3 linked regions of the Stegostoma tigrinum genome follow. The protein of the gene in region 1 purifies or fractionates together with the protein of each later gene. This does not show direct contact. Links are inferred from orthologs where the notes say so. Each region holds a gene or a part of one and is shown on either strand. Other genes may lie near its edges.

Region 1 (8,014 bases):
CTTGGGTTGGTGATGTCATTTCCTGTTCTTTTTCTCAGAAGATGGTAGATGGGCTCCAAATCAACGTGTTTGTTGATGGAGCTCTGGTTGGAATGCCATGCTCCTAAGAATTCTCGTGCGTGTCTCTGTTTGGCTTGTCCTAGGATGGACGTGTTGTCCTTCCTCATCTGTATGTATGTAAGGATACTAGTGATAGTGGATCATGTCTTTTTGTGGCTAGTTGATGTTCGTGTATCCTGGTGGCTAGCTTTCTGCCTGTTTGTCCAATGTAGACCACAAGCAAAACAAACGTCATCTACAAAATACCTTGCAAGAGCTGTGACAAACACTACATTGGACAAACAGGCAGAAAGCTAGCCACCAGGATACACGTCTTTTTGTGGTTAGTTGATGTTCGTGTATCCTGGTGGCTAGCTTTCTGCCTGTTTGTCCAATGTAGACCCAATGCAGACAACAAGCAAAACAAACGTAATTTACAAAATACCTTGCAAGAGCTGTGACAAACACTACATTGGACAAACAGGCAGAAAGCTAGCCACCAGGATACACAAACATCAACTAGCCACAAAAAGATATGATCCACTATGACTAATATCCTTACATACAGATGAGGAAGGACACCACTTTGATTGGGGCAACACGTCCATCCTAGGACAAGCCAAACAGAGACACGCACGAGAATTCCTAGAAGCATGGCATTCCAACCGGATCTCCATCAACAAACACACTGATTTGGAGCCCATCTACCATCCCCTGAGAAAAAGAACAGGAAATGACATCACCAACCCAAGGAAACCTAAACAGATAAATAGAAAGCAGGACATAACACCAGCGCTTCACCGGAGGCTCACTGATGATGTTACCTAGAATGGTGACAAAACATCTGAAAATGAACCTTCCAGCTCAGCGAGCAAACTCACATCCAGGTAAATTGCCCTTCGTAGCAAGAGGATTCAAGTATTGGAGCAGGGATGTCTTGCTGTAATTGTACAGGGCCGCACTGAGACCACACAGCATTATGTGCAGTTCTGGTCTCCTTATCAGAGGAAGGAGCTTCTGATCTTGCACTGCAACATGGGTTTACTGGACCAGTCCCTGGGACAGAAAGACCAACATGACGACAGACCGGATCTGTTAGGACTATATTCACCAGCATTTAGAACAAGATTTCAGAAGCTTACAAGATTCTAACAGGATTAGACAGCATAAATGCAAGGAGGATGCTTCCCAATGCCTGGGGAGTCTAGAACCAAGAGTTCAAAGATAGAGGTAGGTCATGTAGAACTGAAATGAGGAGAAATCTCTTCACCCAGAGACTGCTGAGCTTGTGCAATTCTGTCCAAGAAAGCAGGTGAGGTCAAAACATTGAATGTTTTCTGAAGGAATTAAATACAATCCTTAGGGCTACACAGGGACCAGAAGATAAAAGGAGAAAGCAGACTGAATTAGATGATCAGCCATGATCATACTGAATGATGGAACCGGTTCAAAAGGGCTGAATAGACAACTCCTTCTTCTATTTTCTGCGTTTATGTTCAATTGCCACGGGGTGCAGTGGAGGCCGGGACGTTAAATGCCTTCAAGGCAGAGATCAATAAATTCTTATCTCACAAGGAATCAAGGGCTACCAGGAGAGTGCAGGGAAATGGAGTTGAAATGCCCATCAGCCATGATTAAATGGCACAGTGGACTCAATGGGTCAAATAGTCTTACTTCCACTCCTGTGTTTTATGGTCTTAAATCAAATAATTATCCTCTCTTTTGCATATCACATAATTATCAGAGTTTTTGAGGAAGAAAAATTACCAATATTGATCTTGTCCTCTAATAAATTCACATTATTAATACTTTCTTGGGCACAGCATGTCAACAGCACCAGTCACTCCTCCAGGCAGTTTGTGTATCTTTAGAAATACAATAACTTAAAAATAAGCATGAAAATGATTAGTTACTACAAATCTACCAGGTAAAAGTACATCCTTACTAGAACAAGTAGTTTGTATTTTTATTAAAATTAGAACACTACTAGCTAATGGAAAACATAGTCTAATGTTCCTCCTGAAGCTTTCCTTTATAAAACATTTTGATTACAACAAAAGCTGTGCACCCACAATACAGAGCATTTGACTTACTGAGTTAAAGTTTGACACTGGATAAAAAAAAATTACATTCACTGAAATTCAGTTACTTATCCCTAACAAAGCAGGCAAACTGGAATCTTTTTGACCTCCAGGTTGCCATCCAAAATCCAACAGTAAATTAATTTAAAGTAGATTCAGGCACAGGAGCTATTTAACAAGCTACTTTAATCCTTTTAAATGGAATCTAATAATTATGTATTGTGATCAGTTTTTTTTGAAAAGGTATAGCACAACACACACCTGGATTATCATTCATCCAACATCTTCAGAATTGCAATATCAGGCCCAAATATGACAATCACAGGCGAACTTCAATACAATTCACAAACTGTACTTTAGACACTATATTACATAACAGAATTAGGGAACGTTATTGTCAGTGCTTTAAATTAAAACTCGGAACAGAAAGCATGTGGAAACGCATTTAAGTCCTATTTGCGGATTCAGAGAAACGAATGTCAAAAAACAAAAATCACTGAAACAAATCCGTCAAGATAAAAACCGAATGAAACCTCCGATAACAAAATATCCCGGAAGATTTGTTCAGAGCCACCCTTGCCTGCTATTTAATCAGTTTAAATTGATGACAACCCCGTGGCTCCCACCCACTTTAGGCCCACGCCGGAATTTTAACACCTCAAATCAGTCAGTAGAACAGCAGTGTTTTCTTTGACAAAGCTCAACTTCCACTGCTTACATCCAATTTCTCAACAATGTTTTAAGCAGTACAAAGCAACTTTAACTTACTAGCTAGCTCTTCTGTATTTACTGCACAGAGCCGCACTCTTTCACTTCCACCTCCTGGTGCTTTCAGAAGCCGACAGCCAACCGGCCGCGCAAGCGTAAATTCAAGACACTTCCCTATCGCGCACGCGCACTTTCGCAACAGCATGCACACGCGTCACCACCCCCCCAAGTGTTGATGACGCCCTCATCCTAGCTGCGCACGCGTACTGCGCATGCTCGCTCTGGTCTTGTTAGGTCACGGGCTCCCGTGAGGATGCAATCCACTTTCTCCACTGCGCACGCTCGATACTTCGGAACGTCCACAGAACCGATGTCTGCTTCAACGATAACAAAGTGTAGAGCTTCCCCCCATATCTGAAGAAGGGTCTCGGTCCGAAACGTCAGCCTTCCTGCTCCTCTGATGCTGCTTGGCCTGCTGTGTCCATCCAGCTCTAAACCTCGTTATCTCAGATTCCAGCATCTGCAGTTCCTATTATCTCTGGAACATCTGCTTCACGCGGGTTCCGGCAGCGTTGCGGTTAATGCCATTTGTTGCGAATGTCTCAAAAACGCAAGGAATGAATGGACTGGGGACTGAACACCCCCAAATGTTGGAGATATTGCGCTGCGGGGCTCGCTGCTTTTAGGGGACGGGGGTGAGGAGTCTGACAGAAGAGATGCCAGCTGAATCTGTCAAATGTTGCGACCCGTCTGTAATTGCCACTTCTTATCATGGTTTTCTGATGATTTCCAGCATTTTTATGTGCTTCTTTCAGATTTCCAAATTTAACAATTTCCCTTCTATTATGGGGCTGGAAGCGGTGGAATGGAACTTGCAAGTCTGGAATAGACATTTTCCACTCTTGAAGATAAAACGAAGAATTGCAGATGCTGGATATCAGAAACAAAAACAGGAACTGCTGGTGGAACACACCAATTCTGGAAACATTTGTGGGGAGAAAGCAGAGTTAATGCTTCGAGTCCGGTGACTCTTCATCAGAACTGATAGCAGCTAAGAAAATGTGGTATTTATTGCTGACGATCAGATTTGGGGGACGCAGGGCAGAGTTGAGCGGACAGGTGGAGATGGAGCCCAGAGAGAGAGATATGAGAGGGGTGAACAGTTAGGAGACTATTATTAGTGAGCCAGGACAGAATAGAAGCTGAGTAAGTGGTAATGAGAGGTCAGACAGCATCCAAAGAGCATGGAAGTCAAAGTTTTGGGCCAAAAGCCTTTGTCAGGACCAAAACATTGACTTCCCTGCTCTTTGGATGCTATCTGACCTGCTGTACTTTTCCAGCTGCACGTTTATTGACTCTAGCTTCCAGCATCTGCAGTCCTTACTGTCTGTAAGTGGTAATGAGAGCTGAGAGTAGGAGAGTAGCAGTGTTGAAATCAAACTAATTAATGTGATAATAGGTATGGGAATGAGTTTCCAGTGCTAGAAGCAACCACAACAAGGTTCTGCATGGTAGACTGGTTGGCAAGATTAGATCACATGGAATCCATAGGGAGCTAGCCAACCTGGATACAAAACTGGCTCCTAGGTGGGAGACAGTGGATGAAGATTGTTTTTTGCACTGGAGGCCAGTGACCAGTGGTGTGCCACAAGGATCAGTGCTGGGTCCACTGCTTTTCGTTGCTTATATAAATGATTTGGATGTGAATTTAAGAGGTATGGTTAGTAAGATCTCAGATGACACCAAAATTGGCAGTGTAGCAGACAGCAAAGAAGGTTACCTCAGAGCGCAGTGGCTCTTTGATCAGATTGTTAATGGGCCAAGGAGTGGCAAATGAGTTTAATTAAATAAACGTGAGGTATTGTATTTTCATATGGCAAACCAAGGCAAGAACTTATACTGTCCTGGGAAGTATGGTGCATAGTTTCCTGAAAGTGGAGTTCCAAGTACACAGCGTGGTGAAGGCAGCTTTACTCCATTGAGTACAGGAGTTGAAATGTCATGTTGCAGCTGTACAGGACATTGGTTAGACCACTTTTAGAATACTGTGTTCAATTCTGATCTCCCTACTATGGGAAAGATGTTGTTAAATTTGAAAGGGTTCAGAAAAGATTTACAAGGATGTTGCTGAAATTGGAGAGTTTGGGCAAAGGAAGAGGTTGAATTGGCTGGGGCTATTTTCCCTGGAGCATCAGCGGCTGAATGCTGACCTTATAGAGGTCTATAAAATTGAAGAGCATAGATAGGCTGAATAGACAAAGTCTTTTTCCCAGTGTAGGGGAGTCTAAAACTATGGAGCATGGGCTTAAGGTGAAAGGGGAAAGATTTAAAAAGGGTCCTGAGGGGCAACATTTTCATGCAGAGGGTGGTCTGTGTGTGGAACAAAATGCCAGAGGAAGTGGGGGAAGATTGGTACAATTTCAACATTTAAAAGACATCTGGATGGTTACATGAGTAGGACGGGTTTAAAGTAATATGGACCAAATGCTGGCAATGGGACTGGATCAGTTTAGGATAGCTGGTCGGCATGGATGAATTGGACCAAAGGGTTTGTTTCCCTGCCGTATAACATTATTACTCTATGTCAAGACAGAACTGTGCATGGGGGTGGATTTTTAAAAAATGGAAATATTGAATTAGGCTTTAAAGTTCTGGAAATTGATGTTGAGTCTGAGATGTTACAGGGTCCACAAGCAGAAAATGAGATGTTGTTCTTCAAGCTTGTGCTGAGGCTCCCTGGAACTCTGCAGCAGACCTACTACAGAAATATTGGTGTTGAAACATGGTGGTGGCAAGCAACTGGAAGCTGAGTGTCATTTTTATAAATAGAGTCTACGTGTTCTGCAAAACAGTCATGTGGTCTGTATTTCATGTCCCCAGTGTAGAGCAGACGACATTGTGAACAGTGAATATGGTAGACTAGATTTGAATGAAATGCGGGTAAATTGCTGTTTTAGCTGGAAGGTGTGTCGGGGTATCCGAAAGCAAGGAGGGAGGAGGTATAGGAGCAGGTGTTAGAGCTTCAGTAATTGCATGGGAAGGTGCCATAGGGGTTTCGGAAATGGAGGGAGGAGTGGACCAGGGGTGGGGTGGTAAGTGAGGACCTTGGGACACTATCGTTATGAGGGAAGAGCATGGATGACGGCAGAAGTGTGAGGGATGGGTTAAATAGGGGTAAGGACCCCCATCAACCACAGTAGCAGGAAATCCTCAATTGAGGAAAAAGGTGGACATTTGAAATCCCCTGCGGAAGGTAGCATCATCAGAACAGATTCGATGTAGGCAGATAAATTGAAAAAAGGGGATGGAGTCCTTATGGAAAGCAGGGTGTGAGGGTGTATAGTCAAGATAACTGTGGGAAACCAAGCGGAGGCTTGGGGACCGCTTTGCAGAACACCTCCGCTCAGTTCGCAACAAACAACTGCACCTCCCAGTCGCAAACCATTTCCACTCCCCCTCCCATTCTCTAGATGACATGTCCATCATGGGCCTCCTGCAGTGCCACAACGATGCCACCTGAAGGTTGCAGGAACAGCAACTCATATTCCGCCTGGGAACCCTGCAGCCCAATGGTATCAATGTGGACTTCACCAGCTTCAAAATCTCCCCTTCCCCTACTGCATCCCTAAACCAGCCCAGTTCGTCCCCTCCCCCCACTGCACCACACAACCAGCCCAGCTCTTCCCCCCCACCCACTACATCCCAAAACCAGTCCAACCTGTCTCTGCCTCCCTAACCGGTTCTTCCTCTCGCCCATCCCTTCCTCCCACCCCAAGCCGCACCCCCAGCTACCTACTAACCTCATCCCACCTCCTTGACCTGTCCGTCTTCCCTGGACTGACCTATCCCCTCCTTACCTCCCCACCTACACTCTCTCCACCTATCTTTACTCTCCATCTTCGGTCCACCTCCCCCTCTCTCCCTATTTATTCCAGTTCATTCTCCCCATCCCCCTCTCTGATGTTCGGTCTAGGCCCGAAACGTCAGCTTTTGTGCTCCTGAGATGCTGCTTGGCCTGCTATGTTCATCCAGCCTCACATTTTATTATCTTGGATTCTCCAGCATCTGCAGTTCCCATTATCTCTGATAACTGTGGGAGTCAGTGGGTTTCTAATGCATATCGATGGCTGGACTATCCCCAGAAATGTGGTCCTCAGCAAAGGACATAGTTTTATCCCCTTGCGCCTCACCGCAATGAATTTTATGCAGAGTGATAATGGGAACTGCAGATGCAGATGCTGGAGAATCCAAGATAATAAAATGTGAGGCTGGGTGAACACAGCAGGCCCAGCAGCATCTCAGGAGCACAAAAGCTGACGTTTCGGGCCTAGACCCGAAGATGCTGCTGGGCCTGCTGTGTTCATCCAGCCTCACGTTTTATAATTTTATGCAGACACGACATTGAACTCTTCCACTGCCAATTATATAAAAGGTAAGGGATACAGGACATTGGACCATTGGAAAATGAGGTTGGAAAAGTAATAATGGGGAACAAAGAAATGGCAGAGAAACTAATGACAGATAGCATACCAGAACTTGAAGAGAATCAGGGCAGAGGTGAGTGTAGTGACCATCAATAAGGAGATAATGTTGGGGAAACTGGATCAATCACCTAGATTGGATGGACTACACCCCAAAGTTCTGAAGGACATAGCTGAGGAGATTGTGGAAGCACTGGTGGTGATCTTTCAAGAATCGTTTGAGTCAGGGAAGGTACCAGAAGACTGGAAAATGGCTAATGTAACAAGAGAGGGAGGCAGAAGACAGGAAGCTTTAGGCTGGTTAGCCTGACCTCGGTCATTGTTAAGATTTTAGAGTCCATTATTAAAGTTGACATTGCAGAGTACTTGAAAGTGCGTGGTAAAAATGGCTAAGTCAGTACAGGTCTGTCAAGCCTGAATGAGTTTTTTTTTAAAATTATTCATTCATGGGATGAGGGCATTGCTAGTTAGGCCAAATTTATTTCCTAATTGCCCATAAGATTCAACCACATTGCTATACCTCTGGAATTGCATGTAGACCAGAACAGGTAAGCACGGCAGTTTCCTCCCCTAAAGGGCATTAGTGGCCAGATGGTGTTTTCCTGACAATTCACAGTGGATTCACAGTCATCATTAGACTCTTAATTCCAGATTTTTTTGTTGAATTCAAATTCCACTATGGATCAGTGGACAGAGAGATGATGT
Region 2 (7,442 bases), on another chromosome or scaffold:
CAGGAATATACAGCACTCCAACAGATGCTCTCAAATCCATTTGGAATACTCTCTGCTGTATTACTTAAATATGACCAAATTACATTCAAGTATTCTCATACCAAGTTACCCAAAAGTTGTCAGATAAGCTGTCGAATTTTTTTGAATTCAAACAGATGCAGCTTTTCTAGAACACACAAACAATATCATTGAAATGAACAGAAGCAACCGTTATTGAACCTTAACCTGGAAATTTTAAACGTTGTGCAAGTTAATCACGACAAAATTTTCTGCACTGCTTGTTCAAGGCTTCTGAAATGTTAATTTTATTTTGAACCACTAAATTTGTACAACACTATTGAGTGGAAATAGTGCACAAAGCCAACTATTTCAGAATCCAAGTACTCCCAAAGCACGACATCTTCATAATGCTTAAACCAAATTTGCCTTTTCACCTCATTCTTATCCACAAACTTCCCATCAATCCCAACATCCAGTGGAAAAATTGCCTCAGCTCAGTGAATCCACCATTAAATTATTTCATTTCCATAACTTTCAAAAAAAATTAACCATCCTTGCAAAAGAAAGGAAATAAAAATACTGGGACAAAACAAGACACTACACACTTTTAAACCAATTTACAAAATATAGCCCTTCTACATCAAACTGGTTTTACTGTTTTGAAAGAGTTATGGATTTACATTTAAATAAAAAAGATACATACTGTATCAAGCATTACTGTCAAAATCTCCCTGATGAAAAGTTTGAAAAAAGCTGGAGTACTGATTGGTTTTTGGAAAAATTCTGTTCTGGCAACAAAATTTACCAACAGAAAACACCTGCGTTGTTTCACGTATGCTACTTCCTTCCAGGTAGTTTCTGAACTGCTGTAAATGCTGCAGAACGCCTCAACTATAAACTACCGTAAAACTGGGTCACACCTGTACAGTGTTCTTGCTCTGTAAGTTTAATACATTTTAGATCAACTCGCCATAATACTTCAAAACCCCAAAAACGAAACAACAGTTCAAACATCAATTTCAAAAACTTAAAAAGCATTATTATTTCATTTCTACAAAAAGTAAAATAAATGTCGTTTTCAAGAGGAAAAATAAGAAGGTACGATTGCAATAGTATCACTATTTTCTCTAAATTAAATCCCTTGTTCCCAACTTTGAACAGCTATAGCAAGAATCGACTTGAACCGAACATAAAATGCATTATAAAGCTCACCGTAAGTAATATTGTTTTAAGGCAAATGATGCATTCGGACAACCTTTCGGAAAGTTTAATTCCTCCGTTATCTGTGACCATTTGTTCTTGTCAGTTACCTGCACCAAAAAAACACAATAATCCTGATTAATATGCAGACACGTTATCAGATAGCAGAATATACCATCTGTTCCTTCTAAGGCTTTAAAACAACATGAACAGCGCCGCAATGTTGCCTGAGAAAGAAAAAAAACGGGTCAGGAGCGAAAAAAAACAAAAACTTTGCAACACTTTCCTGGTTCAGAAGACAAAAAAGGGGGGTCGACAAGTCTTCGCATTTTCAAACGTTCGGGCCACCCTACGGGCCTACGTGAGGCCTACGATTTTCCCCCTCAACCACGAAGCCTGACACAGCGGAGAGCTCCGTCCCCTCCGCTGCGGCGAGTAAAAGAAAGGCAAACGAGTGGTGCGAGCCTGTCCCCTGAAGAGCATTTCCTACCCCAGGCACACTCACGATTATCGATGTTAAGCATGCCCGCTAATTTTGACTTGGCTGAAGTGCGCGCAGTGAAGCAGCCGCAGCAACTGCAACGCCAGGCCAGAGACAGGCAACTGCCATTTACAGCTTCACTGCCACACACACACACACACACACGACAGAAATCTTTTCCTTTGTAAACCTTTAAAAATAAAACTACAGCCCTTCCGAGCGGGTTTTCCAAAAAGGAAACGTTGGGGGGGGGGTGCTGGTGGTGATAACAGATTTTTAAGACGCGCGTACGGCGAGAAATTAAATTAAACACAACAGACACAAGATATTCACCTTGGCGAATCCTCCCAGGCTGGTGACTCTGGTGTAGAGAGCGTGAAGATCCAGCTCCTTTCCGGCAACTATTGGGATCTTTTTAAAAGGCGTCCTGAACAAGAAGTGGTTGTGGTGGGGTGGGGTGGGGGGGTAGAAATAAAGAAGAATAAAATCAGACCCTCACCTCCTCTTCACCAAAGCGCCCGTCCAAAGTTTCGCCCAACGTATCCCCCGGGTTTTTCCCCTTAAATTATAAATAAAAATTTCGGGGTTGGGGGGGGGGGGTGTTTAAAATCCTTACCCTCTGTTGTGGTGAAACTGCCGCAGCTCCTCCAGGAACGCCTGCCTTTTTCTCCTCGGGTCTGACGGCTGCATTTTCCCCATCGAATTTGCCATCTTTTTCATTGTTGTATGTGTGTGAGGGGGGGGAGAGAGAGAGAGAGAGAGGGAGAGAGAGAGAGAGAAAGAGAGAGAGAGAGTTTTTTTAAGGGGTGGGGGGTGGGCGTAAAGGATAAATAAATAAAAATAAAAAGCCTCGGGGAACTTAGTCAATGTCTGGAAGGAGAGCCGGTCCGCCGCCGCCGCCGCTCAGTCATTGATGGAGCGAGTGCGAAAGTTTAAGAGAGAGAGAAAAAAAGAGGAAAAAAGAGCAAAGACTCGCTTTTACTCACTCGCTGCACTCTTCGATCTCCTCTCAACCAAAAAAAACACACACAAAAAAACAACTTACATCTTGTTCTCTATTGTATGTTAATGTGGTAGACAATATAAGTGTGTGTATTTATGGTATAAATATATTTTTCTTTTCAGACGGGCTGCAGCGGCTCCATGCAGTTTAACATTAACTCATACACGGGAGAGGACAAAAAAAAACATAACACGCACACACACACACACATTTATATATAATTTTTTGGGGGGGGGGGAGAAAGGAATGAAAACACAGCGGCGGTGCTGTTGGCGGCCGAAACACCGGCGGCAGCTCGAACCTCCCTCGGAGAAGCGAAACAATAGCGCCTCGTCTCAACCAAACCGGCCACCACAGCCTGGGCCCCGGGAGGGGGTGCCACTATTCAACCATTACGCGACACCCCTCCCCCATCGCGGATCCTTCCCCCTCCCCCACTCTAGCTCTCGTCTATCTTCCTCCTCCCCGCCCGCGCCGCTCTCTACTCCGCCCACTTTCGCCTCTCGCGCTGCTCTCTCCTCCCCCTCCAAGTTTCCCCTTCTCTCGCGCTGCTTCATCCTCCGCCCACTTTCCCGCCCAGTCCCGGGGTAACGGCTCACAAAATGGCGGCGCCCAACAGGGATTGAGGAGACGTTCGGTTCTCTCCCTATGGTTCCCGCACAAACGCTGACTCGTATGTATTTATGCGTACAGTATGTGTGTCTTTTTATTTGTTATTATGTGTAGCGAGGATTTTATTCAAATCAGGCGGACTCCTTTGAAGAAGGCGCAGCGCTGCGATCTTTTTCGTGGTTTTTATTTAAAAATAGTTTATAAAAAGGAAGGTGGTGGCCGTCGTCTGCTGGAAACAGTGTTGTGTGAGCCTCCGTGTGAAGGGAGAGATGTTAAGTCAAACAAAAACTGAAGCCGCTGGAAAAGTTCAGCGGGCCTGACAATATCTGCGAAGAGAAATCAGAGTTAATGCTTCTAATTATTTTCTTTGCTCTTTGCCTTTCGGCTTTTAGAGTGACATGATAGGTCTTCCTTTAAAATAATGTGTGCTTTGGTGAAAAACAGTCGTGGGTACTTTACTTTTAGTCTTGTTCTTGCTTAAAAGTTGACAGGGAGCCCCAGGGCAGGCAGTTGTTTTGACTTGCAGGTGTTTTCATCAACGGGGATATCCCGGACCAGTGGGTTTTGTTGTGAGATAACAAGGTGTAGGGCTGGATGAACACAGCATCAGAGGAGCAGGAAGGCTGGTGTTTCGGGCCTAGACCCTTACTTTATCGTGCTCGGGCTGAGGGTTGAATTATTGGAGATGCGTGTGTAGGGAAACAACAGAAGCTTATCTTCGTCCGAAATCCTTCCAAGGTACTCGGAGACCCTCAAATGTCAAGCGGAAAAGAATTGAATCTTCATTTGATAATATTCATACCGCTTTGTATATGCTTCTACCACAACATCCTGAGCGCTTGACGGAGGGATTGGCATATCGAAATTACCATGGAGCATAAGGAGTGTCAGGCAGCATGTTAGGAGCAGTAAAGCTTTTTATTGACGTTTCGGGCCTAGACCCTTCATCAGAAATGGGGGAGGGGAAGGGTGTTCCGAAATAAATAGGGAGAGAGGAGAGGTGGATCGAAGATAGATAGAGGACAAGATAGGTGGAGAGGAGACAGACAAGTTAGAAGCAGGGATGGGGCCAGTAAAGGTGAGTGTAGGTGGGGAGGTAGGGAAGACGGAGTAAGATGCTGCTTGGCCTTCTGTGTTCATCCAACTCCACACCTTGTTATCTCAAGTTTTTCTTATTGTCTATTAGTGTATTTGACTGGGGGGTTGGGGATGCAGGCAGTGTGTTCCAGTAACACTGACTTGGAACACCCCTCATGATGCATAGTAAAGAGTTGTGAATGAAGATCCATGTGTGCTCCTAGACACAGGACTGGAGACTCCTCTTTGACAACCCCTCCAACACTTGGTGTCATTGGGTGGGCCAGCATTTATTGCCCATTCCGAATTTGCCAGAAGACATTTAAGAATCAGCCACACCGCTGCAGGCCTGGAGTCACATGTAGGGCAGTTGCCTTCCCTGAAGGGCATTTGTGAACCTGATAAGTGTTTTTTTTTCGATAATCAGCCAATGATTTTGTGGTCATCATTAGACTCTTTAATACCAGATTTTTATCAAATTTAGATTCCACTATTCAACATTATCTGGATCTGTGGATTAATCATCTAGCAAGCATACCGACCATGCTATCACATCCCCTTACATGTTTAAAAACTTGTGTAAAATTTAACAACACATAGCAAGTTTTGAGAAGACTTGTAGCTCAGGTTGAGGTTCTGGATGTGAGTTTGCTCGCTGAGCTGGAAGGTTAGTTTTCAGACGTTTCGTCACCATTCTAGGTAACATCTTCAGTGAGCCTTCGAAGCTTAAGTGTAAACTGCATGTGATAGAGCTAAGTAATCCCATGCCTAATAGAACCAACTGTAAGCTGTGCAGTCCTTCCACATCAATTGGTGCACAATTAAACAGATCATTTGAGGAAGTGGTTCTGCAAATAAGTTGGAGGCCAACACATCAGTGCAAAAGATTTGGCTTAAGCATTTGCAAGCATCTTCAGTCAGAAGTGCTAAGTAGACACGTGACCTCCTGAGGTTGTCAGACTTCTGCCAATTATATGTTCTATTGACTGTGATGTTCAAGAAGCAGCTAACAGAACTGCGTACTGCAAAAGCTGTGGACCCTAAAGGATGAATCATGGCATGGTCAGTGCTGTCAAATGGCACTCAACAAAACCCAGTTCATTGCTCTGTTTGAGTTCCACCACACCTACTCAGCTCCTGATCTCATTATGGCCTTGGCTCAGACATAGAGAAAAGAGCTGAAGTTGAGGGGAAGTGAGTGTTACTGCCCTTGACTTCAGGCTTGCATTTAACCAGGTGGCATTGAGGATCCCTCGTAAAACTGGACTCGATGCAAATTGGGAGGAACAATCTCTGCTTTTGCTGTTAGAATCATAGCTAACAGAAAGAAGATGGTTTTGACATTTGGACTCTGGGACCTATAATGTAGATACACCCAACTGTTCAAGGAAGCTTCTCACCATAACTACCTTGGAGAATTAGGGGTGGGTTTTGCAATGGTTAGATCAGTCTATCCCACAAATGAAGGGATAGTGTGGTGAGACTAACAGAAAGATTGGCAACTGTTAGAAGTACATTTAGACAGTTGTGTAGTAATCAGCAGTTCACCTCATTCGTGCATTGGATGTCGGCATATTGAAGGACTTGAAAGGGAAAATGGAGATTCCTGATGAGGTGATTAATTCTCAGTGAGGTGGGGATATAGTTTAAGTACAAATTTAACAGTAGAGAAAGTCACTAATCTTCAGCTGTGATTAGATGCTAATAAATTAGTTTGTTTTTGAAAATTACAAATAGCACGTTATGTACTTGGAACCCAGATTTCTAAACTTCATTTTTTTTTGACCTGATGCCAGTGTGGGTTTGTAAAGACTGGAACCTGTCTGTTTTTTCTTTCTTTCTCTCCTGCTTTCTGCTTCTGCTCCTCTTTGCCCCCAACCCCATGTCCTTTGTAAATTTCTGCTAATTTGGATTCTTTGTAGCAGAGCAATGAGAAGCTCATGCATTTTCATGCTCGGGCCAATGTGGCTGAATTAGTTATAATAGCCTCCCTTAGATTCTGATGATCAAATCTTAATAGTTTGTGAGCTAATGGCTCAGCCATTTGATGTTTTAATTTGCTGAGCTGCTGGGTTGGTGGTTTAAAATAATGTGCTCATGGTATCAAAGTTTCCTTAAGCTCTTTTTGGCCAGTCACAGATAAGTTTGTAGATGCTAGTACAGTTTGTTTTGCATAATTTAATCTACTTCCTCCAACAGGAGGAAAAAGCAATTCACCCTAGTTGTGTATGGCAAATGACAAACATCTTGTGGAGGAACTTTCAGTGCCTTTGATCGAAGTAATCAATTTTTTTAGAGAAGTTGCTATCCATAAAATGGACACCTAATTTTATCCTCTCCGTGGAGCTTTAAATTACAATGTTCCAAAATCTAAGTTCCTTTGGTTGAGAGTATGAGTTACCTTCCTTGCTGATAAATTGTTTCCAAAAGTGGATGGCCTACAATATGCATTGGTTAGTAGTTGCTAAAAAGTAGTGCTTGTGGAATGCCCGTTCACATTTTGGGTGCCCACGGGCATGCGGAATCTCTTTTGTCATGTACTTGTCATACAGCACCGGTCACTGTGCTGTCAGCATTTTGATAATTGCGGCTCTCATAACTAAATCCAGTAATGTTCTTAATCAAACTGATCAGTGTTGTGACACATATCCAGAAAGTGAACCTTCTGGCCAGGAGAACAGACGTGACCATGACCACAGTCTGACAAATAGCTATGATTTTCGTACACGTTGAAGGTTGTTACCATTTACATCTTCCCACTAAAAAGTACATTTCATTAATCTGTCAGTTTTCTGTTCTTTTGCCAGCAGATTTAGCACCACTTTCGTACTTGCATATTTCAAAGATTGTGACTAGACACTCTATTTACTCTATCATTGCAAGTATTAAATAATACTTTTTCTTCCAGTTCTTTAAATGGTATTTTCTTTTTTGCCCACTATCTCTCTTCCATACCAGCCATGACAACACTACTTATTTCATAGTTAGTGTACCTCCATTAGACTTGTCCTTTCTTTGACTACAATTCAACTGAAACTCAAGATTTAGCTGTTTTTTTGAAGTAATATG
Region 3 (7,317 bases), on another chromosome or scaffold:
CTGAGACATCTCCCTCCTTAGTCTAATATAAATACAATCATCATTTGTTTAAAGTTTTGCGCTAATCTGTTCACCTATTTGGTGGTTCTATTAGAATTTTAAAAATCATAATTAAGACCTAAAATAATACCCTCTTAGCTATCCAATTAGGTCAGAGAATCTACTGCAATGGTTTCTGTTTCTGTCCTCAGTCATTGAAATCATCCAAGGAAGACAAAAGCCATTGGTTTCAGCTTCTGCCACAGACTCGTGTTTTCTCAACCCCAATTCCTCTCACTGGCAATTCAATTTCTGTTTTTGGCTACTATCCCATGATGACCCAGACTGTTTGCAACCTATGTGGCCCTGAGCTGTCCTTCTGACATCCATCAGAAAAACATAAATTGTTGTTTAGTGCCTCTGCCTCATCCCATCCACTGCTAAGTTCTTATCTGTTGTTACTTCTATCTCAACTATTCTAATGCTGTCTTAGTCATCTGACCATCTTTTACTTTCCACTCACCTGAACTCCTCTAAAACTCAATTGCCTAATTTCTAACCATTCCCAGCTTAACACCAACCATGCATCCCTGTGCGCAATGATCAACATTGGTTCCTGGTCCACTAACATACCAAACATTAAATTCTCACCTTATACTGAATTTGCTCAGTGGGTTTGGACTAGCCCTCATGCAGCTCTGTGAGCTCTGAATCACTGCGCGATGAATTACACAAAGGTAAATTGGTCTTTTAGCGTTGTAGCCTCAATGATATATTGAACAGGCATGAAAATAAAGCTAATTGATCATAAAGGCCCATCAAAGACTCTCCAACTGCCAGCAAGGAAACTTTCACTTTTGGGGGTTCAGAGAGTCTGAGAGAGTAGCTGATGAAAAACTGACAACTCATGAGGACTCAGAAGTGATAGCAGAGCAGTAAATTGACAAGCACAGAGCAAACCATTTCTTTCTTACAGATTTGTACTTTATGCATTTGCATACACAAATAACATTTCATTAAGGAAGAATGCTTTTGAGAAACTTCTAAGCTGTTCACATGCTATGCTGGAAACATTGTAGAGGTGTAGCTCTGGTGTATCTGTGGACATCAGACGGTTTTAAAATCTGCAGTCTAACTTGCAGCATCTCCGTGGATCTCTGCAGGTAAGACATTGAACTCAAATGCAAGTATGTTTCCTCATGACTAGTCATCAAGACATTGGCTAGCCAAAGTGTGGAGGTGGACATATAAATTGGAGGAACATCTGATCGGGCGTGTCAATTATCTTCTTGTCAGCTCATTAAATGTGCAGGTGGGGTATGACAATGGATTTTATGGGCAGCAAGTTCTGAAACCTGCGGTGACTTCTGTCCTTCAATGTCCAGGTGCCATATTTAAAAGGCACCTGGGCAGAACCTCTCTCTTCAACCGGGGAGCATCATTCAATCTCTGCTCATCACTCTCCCACCCCTGATGATGTGAGACAGCAGGCGGAAGCAAAATGTGCCAATCCCTCCCTTGATCTTCTGAAACCTGTCCAGGAGAGAAGGAAAGTTCTGTTCCCAACGAATAGCAACAGAAGTCCTTTCTGACCAATGACAGCAGCCTGCACGGTGTTAGCTGCAGAGGTCAGCATCTGTGGAAAACTCAAAAGAAGCTGACTCCGGTGTCATGAGGATAAATGATCAGCTGTGCTCTGCTATGCTTTGTACCACTGACTACTCAGTGCTTTATTCTCCTATGCATGTGAGTTAGCATTGTAAGGTTGCCACTGCAGAGGGTTATCACATGAGAGGTTGGGTGCCAGATATCTCCATCAGATGCCCAATGTTCAATCAATGTGTTTTACTCATATGTATTAATACTGGTACTACAGTGGACACAAAAATAAAAGATAGCCTTTTGGTTTGAGTTCCTTTTGAGGTGAGCCTCCTCTGTCAGTGTTGATGGCATTAGCCAGTGTGGCTATCTCTCTTCAGCAGGTGTGCTGGCCCAGTCAGGCTGTAGCTCACCATTTAACAACTGCATATTACTGAGACTTATGAGCTGATCAAGGTGGATTAGCTTCACCTCTAACTATGTAAGCATTTGCACAAAGAAATGGCTTGATAATGAAGGAACCAAACAATTGAAAAGGTTTGTACCCTCCAGAGCTGAGAGAAAAAAGTCTGCTTCACAAGGTAGACACCTCATGACACTTTCTGAAGAAGGGTCTCGACCCGAAACATCAGCTTTCCTGCTCCTCTGATGCTGCTTGGCCTGCTGTGTTCATCCAGCTCTACACCTTGTTATCTCATGACACTTGTGTTTCCTGTTTTTGGCTAACAAGATTAAACCTGTAAATATAATTCCAGCAGACTGGAATGTTATTGAGAATTAATGACATGCTCATGAATGCAAAACAGATTCCTGGCCACAAACCCTAAAAGGTTCTGAGAAGTCAATTGAAAAGGTTCAGCATGCCATTGGGGAAAATTGTATTTTTGCTTCATGCCCAATTAAAGTTCCCCACCCAACCTTCTAATAGCCTCTTCTGGGTAAGGAAAATTCGACCTTGAGGTCGAACTGAAAGATTTTCACTCTTGGTTTTGAGAAGCTAAGCTATGGGCTTTGATTCCAAAGGTTTGCAGTTCAGTTCTCACACAGGTTCATGTGTGCTCATGTTATCCTGAACCTGGCACATGGTGGCAGGACTTGTAGGCATCGCTGGCGAGGCCATCATTAATTGCCCATCTCTAGTTGCCCTTGACAGGGTGGTGGTGAGCTGTCTTCTTCAACCACAGCAATCCTTGTGTTGCAGGTAGACCCACAATGTTGTTAGGGAGGGAACTCCAAGATTTTGACCCAGCAGTACTGAGGGAACAGTGGATTGGAGGGGAACTCACAGATGGTGGTGTTTCCACGTAACTGGTGTCCTGGTTCTTTGAGATAGAAGTGGTCACAAATTTAGAAGGTGTTGTCTAAGGAGCTTCGTTGGTGATTGATGGAATGTATATCTGTTGAGCCAATCAAGCAGGCTACTTTGTGCTGGACGTACTTGAGAATGTCATCTTTGAGAGTGTGAGCACTTTAAATGAATCTTCCACTATTGATCGAGTGACAGATTTTCAAAATGAAAACCCCGTACATGTTGAAAAGCCGTGAGATGGTGGGGTTGTTTAGAGATTGACACATTGGGTGAACAACAACAGGAGCTTGGGGGAGGTGGAGTTGAAGTTGGCAGATCATGAGATGTCATCTCCTGGCATATGCCCAGCCAGAGTTGGCAACACTTCTACATATTGTTGTTTAAAAGGTGTTGGTGCCAAAAAGGTAGTGACAACTCCTTTGAAGATATGGCGGGGAGAAGGGAGAGAAAACAGAAGCACTTTGAAAATATACTGGTCCAAGCTGGACCATTTCAGACCATCACTCGCCATTCCCAAGTTTAACTGTTTTTGTTTTGTCTTTGTGGCGGCTGTATCCAATGCAACATGATGCTATCAGTGAAACTGAAACACCATTTCACAGAGGTATTGTCTCCAGCAGACCCGGTTTATATTTCGGAGATAGCAAGAACGGGAGTCAGATCAATACAGCATGGAGCTGCAGGAACACAGCACGTCACGCAACCTCAGAGTCGACATTTCAGCTCAGAACCATTCATCAGGACTGGGGAGGGGGAAGGGAGCTGGGAATAAACAGATGGATGGTGACAGTTGGATGTAGGTAGGGGGTAGTGGAGATTGGTCAGTTGGCAAGGTGGGGCAGATAGGTGGGAGAGAAGATAGGTTGTGTCAGGTCAAGGAAGTGGGGAGAAGAGGAAGAGTTGGACATGGGATGGACCGTAGTTGTGGAGGGGTGCAGTGGTGGTATGGTGTACTGACCTCTAAATTGTGGAGGCCTATCTTCTCCTCTATTCATCTTCGATCTGCCTCCCCCCTCTCCCTATTTATTTCAGAATCCCCTTCCCCTCCCCCATTTCTAAAGAAGGGCCTAGGCTTGAAACGTCAGCTTTCCTGCTCCTCTGATGCTGCTTGTCCTGCTGTGTTCATCCAGCTCTACATGTTGTTATCTCAGATTCTCCAGCATCTGCAGTTCCTACTATCTCTGACACATTGGGCTCCACCTCATTTAAAAAAAAATATATGTACCTCATTACCTCTTGAGTGATTTGGGTCGACCTGCGGGGCTGGAAGGTGCTATGTCAATGTACAGATAAGGGTCCCTCCTCACGGAGATGCTCTTGCGATGGATTCAGGAGGCGGTTTCAATGGCAACCGTAGCCATGGGCATGAACCGGAAAGAGTGCTCGGGGTTGTCAGAGGTCGCCTGCCAACCGGAAGTGGTGGGGTCGCAGTGAAGTTGCCGTTGGAAGCATCAGCAGGAAGAGGAGGCCTCGCCGGGAGCCAGCGAGCGATTGATTTGTCTTGCTCTCTCGAGGAAAGATGAGTCACTCGGCCGAGGAGGATCGCCGTCCGTCGTCGGGGAGCGATCCCGGCAGCAGCAGCAGCAGCGGCGGCGGAGGAGGAGTCCGGAATCCCGAGAAACGGAGACTGCAGCGGGAGGACGACGAGGATGAGGAGGATCGGGTGAACGGGCCGAAAGTCCGGGTATGGATCGTGGGGACGAGAGAGAAGTTGGGGGTCTGGGTCTGGGTCTGGGGCTTGGGGTGGAAGGGTTGGCAATGATACTCCATGTACAGAATCCCGTCTCCTTTATCCCGTATCCCCTAACCCCTAACTCATCCTGTCCCGTGGCTGTAATCAACATCGATTGCACTGTGAGGGAGTAGGGCACCCTCGGTGTGGGGTGAAGAAGGGAAGGGATGGGGACTGGAAGTTGGCAACTTTGTGTTGAGAGCTGGTTCTACACCCCCCCCCCCCCCGTGTATGCATGGGGAGGGGGTGGTGGGAAGTGTGTAGGGAAGGTCTAGGCCCGAAACGTCAGCTTTTGTGCTCCTGAGATGCTGCTTGGCCTGCTGTGTTCATCCAGCTTCACACTTTGTTATCAGGGATGTTTACACTGGTTGGTCTGTGCTGTGTGGTACATACCTATGGCTGTACCCGCTGAATGGCAGAGTGGCTGTGTTTTCATTAAGGTGCAGGAGGGGCTGAAGGGCATGCTCTGACTGGCTGGAATGTGCAGTGGTGGGGAGACATGATTTTGGTTTCTAAAGATTTTCGTTTAAGAAGGAATTCTGGTAAGAGCTGTAATATATTTTCTAGTCAATGCTGATTTAAACCTGGAACCTGGTTCAGAGGCAGCAGGAGCCCTTGGTAAAACTTCTAAAATATACATATATTTTAAAATCAACCTATGCAGCCAGTGGGACTTGATCCTGGTATAGAGATGGGGACACTACCACTACTGCAAGACCTCAGTAAAAACTCTAATAACATTGACAAAGAAAAAGTCCTCCGGTATATGTTTCCTTCCCTGTTGACTGATGTTGCTGATTACCTGAGGCAAACAATGAGGCTCGGTGGGAAATGCAGGGTTACAAGGATTGGGGGGGGGGGGGGGGGGGGGTGGTGGTGGTGAGGGGGGGGGGTGAGGGAGGGAGGGAGGGAGGGAATCGAGTCTAGGTGGGATGTTCTTTGGAAGTGTGGATTCAATGAGCCAATGGGTTGAATGGTCTGCTTCCACACTATAAGAGTTCTATGATTTTACGATACCTGGTAGGCTCTGGTAATTTTAGTCATTCTGTAAGTTCGTGTTTCTTTTTATTGCACTGATGTAGTACAAACTGTTAAGAGAATTAGGGGTGAGAAGGGAAACACTGTCACTGATAAATGGTCTAATAAATGTTGTGAGTTCAAGGTCAGAGAGATGCTGAAAGTTATTGAAAAATCCACTCAGTTTGCAGATGTGTTGGACAGTGACCCAAAAATCCAATAAGTTCCTACAAGTTAAGAGACATATAGCTACGACTGGAGACCCAACTTGTATTGAAGTAAGGTGATGGGATTGAAATTTCTTTCTTTACTAATTCTCAATCCCTCCTTTGCTACTTAGCTGCATCTCTTGACAAACAAAACAAATGGGCTTGATAGAATAGTTCTTGGGATGATTTTTCTCTTGGGGAGTTGAGGTTGAAGGGGGCACAGCCTCAGGTTAAATGGCTAGCTGTTTAGGCCTGAGATCAGGAGGAAGTCCTTTAGATCTTTGGATTTCTATTCTAGAGAGCTGTGAATGCACAATCATTGAGTATATCCAAGATGGAAGTGGATACAGCTTTTGCAAAATGGAAATGAGATCTGTAATAGTGCAGGGAAATGGAATCAAAGTAGAAGTTCTGTCATGATTATATTAAAATGAGTGAAAGCTTGAATGGATTGAATGGTCTGCTTTGGCATTTTGGAAGAAGTAACATGACAAAGGAGTACTCGAATGGCACAGCACAATGAAGCTCAGAGAAAAGGAAAGATCTTGGGGTGCTTGCAAACAGATCCCTGAAAGCAGCAGGACAGGTGTTCATTAGGGTAGTTTAGAAGGCATATGGCTCGAAGGTCTCTTCTGTGCTGTCTGACTGAGTGGAAAGATTTCAGTCAAGATAGACATCTTACAGAACACTTTTGATTTCATTTTTAAAAATTTTAATGACATTAATGATAGCAGACTCTTGTGTTAAAAATACAAAAACAAACAAAATCCAGAATTAAGATAACAAAGTGTGAAGCTGGATGAACACAGCAGGCCAAGCAACATGTTAGGAGCGCAAAAGCTGACGTTTCGGGCCTAGACCCTTCATCAGAAAAGGAGGATGGGTAGAGGATTCTGAAATAAATAGGGAGAGAGGGGGAGATGGATCGAAGGTGGAGAAGAGAGTATAGGTAGGGAGGGGATAGGTCAGTCCGGGGTGGATGGACAGGTCAAGAGAGCGGGATGAGGTTAGTAGGTAGGAAATGGAGGTGTGGCTTGAGGTGGGAGGAGGAGATTGGTAAGAGGAAGAACAGGTTAGGGAGGCGGGGACACGCTGGGCTGGTTTTGGGACGCAGTAGGGGGAGGGAAGATTTTGAAGCTTGTGAAGTCCACATTGATACCATTGGGCTGGCGGGTTCCCAAGCGGAATATGAGTTGCTGTTCCTGCAAGCTTTGGGTGGCATCGTTGTGGCACTGCAGGAGGCCCAGGACGGACATGTCATCTAAGGAATGCGAGGTGGAGTTGAAATAGTTCGCGATTGGGAAGTGCAGTTGTTTATTGCAAACCAAGTGTAGGTGTTCTGCAAAGTGATCCCCAAGTCTCCGCTTGTTTTCCCCAATGTAGAGGAAGCCACAACTGGTACAGCGGATGCAGTATACCACATTGGCAGATTTGCAGGTGAATATCTGCTTGATGTGGAAAGTCATGTTGGG

The links. The genes of interacting proteins can lie anywhere in the genome.
Region 2: the proteins of importin subunit alpha-5 (region 1) and arid2 purify together in Homo sapiens (co-immunoprecipitation; 3 studies listed by BioGRID and IntAct, with this or other methods). This does not show direct contact. The link is inferred for Stegostoma tigrinum from reciprocal best matches to the Homo sapiens genes KPNA1 and ARID2.
Region 3: the proteins of importin subunit alpha-5 (region 1) and rnmt purify together in Homo sapiens (co-immunoprecipitation; 4 studies listed by BioGRID and IntAct, counting the BioPlex papers as one, with this or other methods). This does not show direct contact. The link is inferred for Stegostoma tigrinum from reciprocal best matches to the Homo sapiens genes KPNA1 and RNMT.

The regions. Positions count from the first base shown.
Region 1 is NC_081365.1:36,732,544-36,740,557, forward strand, and holds the start of importin subunit alpha-5, read right to left. Parts: upstream 3,004-8,014; 5' UTR 2,889-3,003; intron 1-2,888. UniProt on the Homo sapiens protein: Functions in nuclear protein import as an adapter protein for nuclear receptor KPNB1. Binds specifically and directly to substrates containing either a simple or bipartite NLS motif.
Region 2 is NC_081371.1:57,499,483-57,506,924, forward strand, and holds the start of arid2 (AT-rich interactive domain-containing protein 2), read right to left. Parts: upstream 3,022-7,442; 5' UTR 2,402-3,021; coding exon 2,298-2,401; intron 2,109-2,297; coding exon 2,015-2,108; intron 1,311-2,014; coding exon 1,213-1,310; intron 1-1,212. UniProt on the Homo sapiens protein: Involved in transcriptional activation and repression of select genes by chromatin remodeling (alteration of DNA-nucleosome topology). Required for the stability of the SWI/SNF chromatin remodeling complex SWI/SNF-B (PBAF).
Region 3 is NC_081358.1:118,294,507-118,301,823, forward strand, and holds the start of rnmt (mRNA cap guanine-N7 methyltransferase), read left to right. Parts: upstream 1-4,296; 5' UTR 4,297-4,406; coding exon 4,407-4,571; intron 4,572-7,317. UniProt on the Homo sapiens protein: Catalytic subunit of the mRNA-capping methyltransferase RNMT:RAMAC complex that methylates the N7 position of the added guanosine to the 5'-cap structure of mRNAs. Binds RNA containing 5'-terminal GpppC.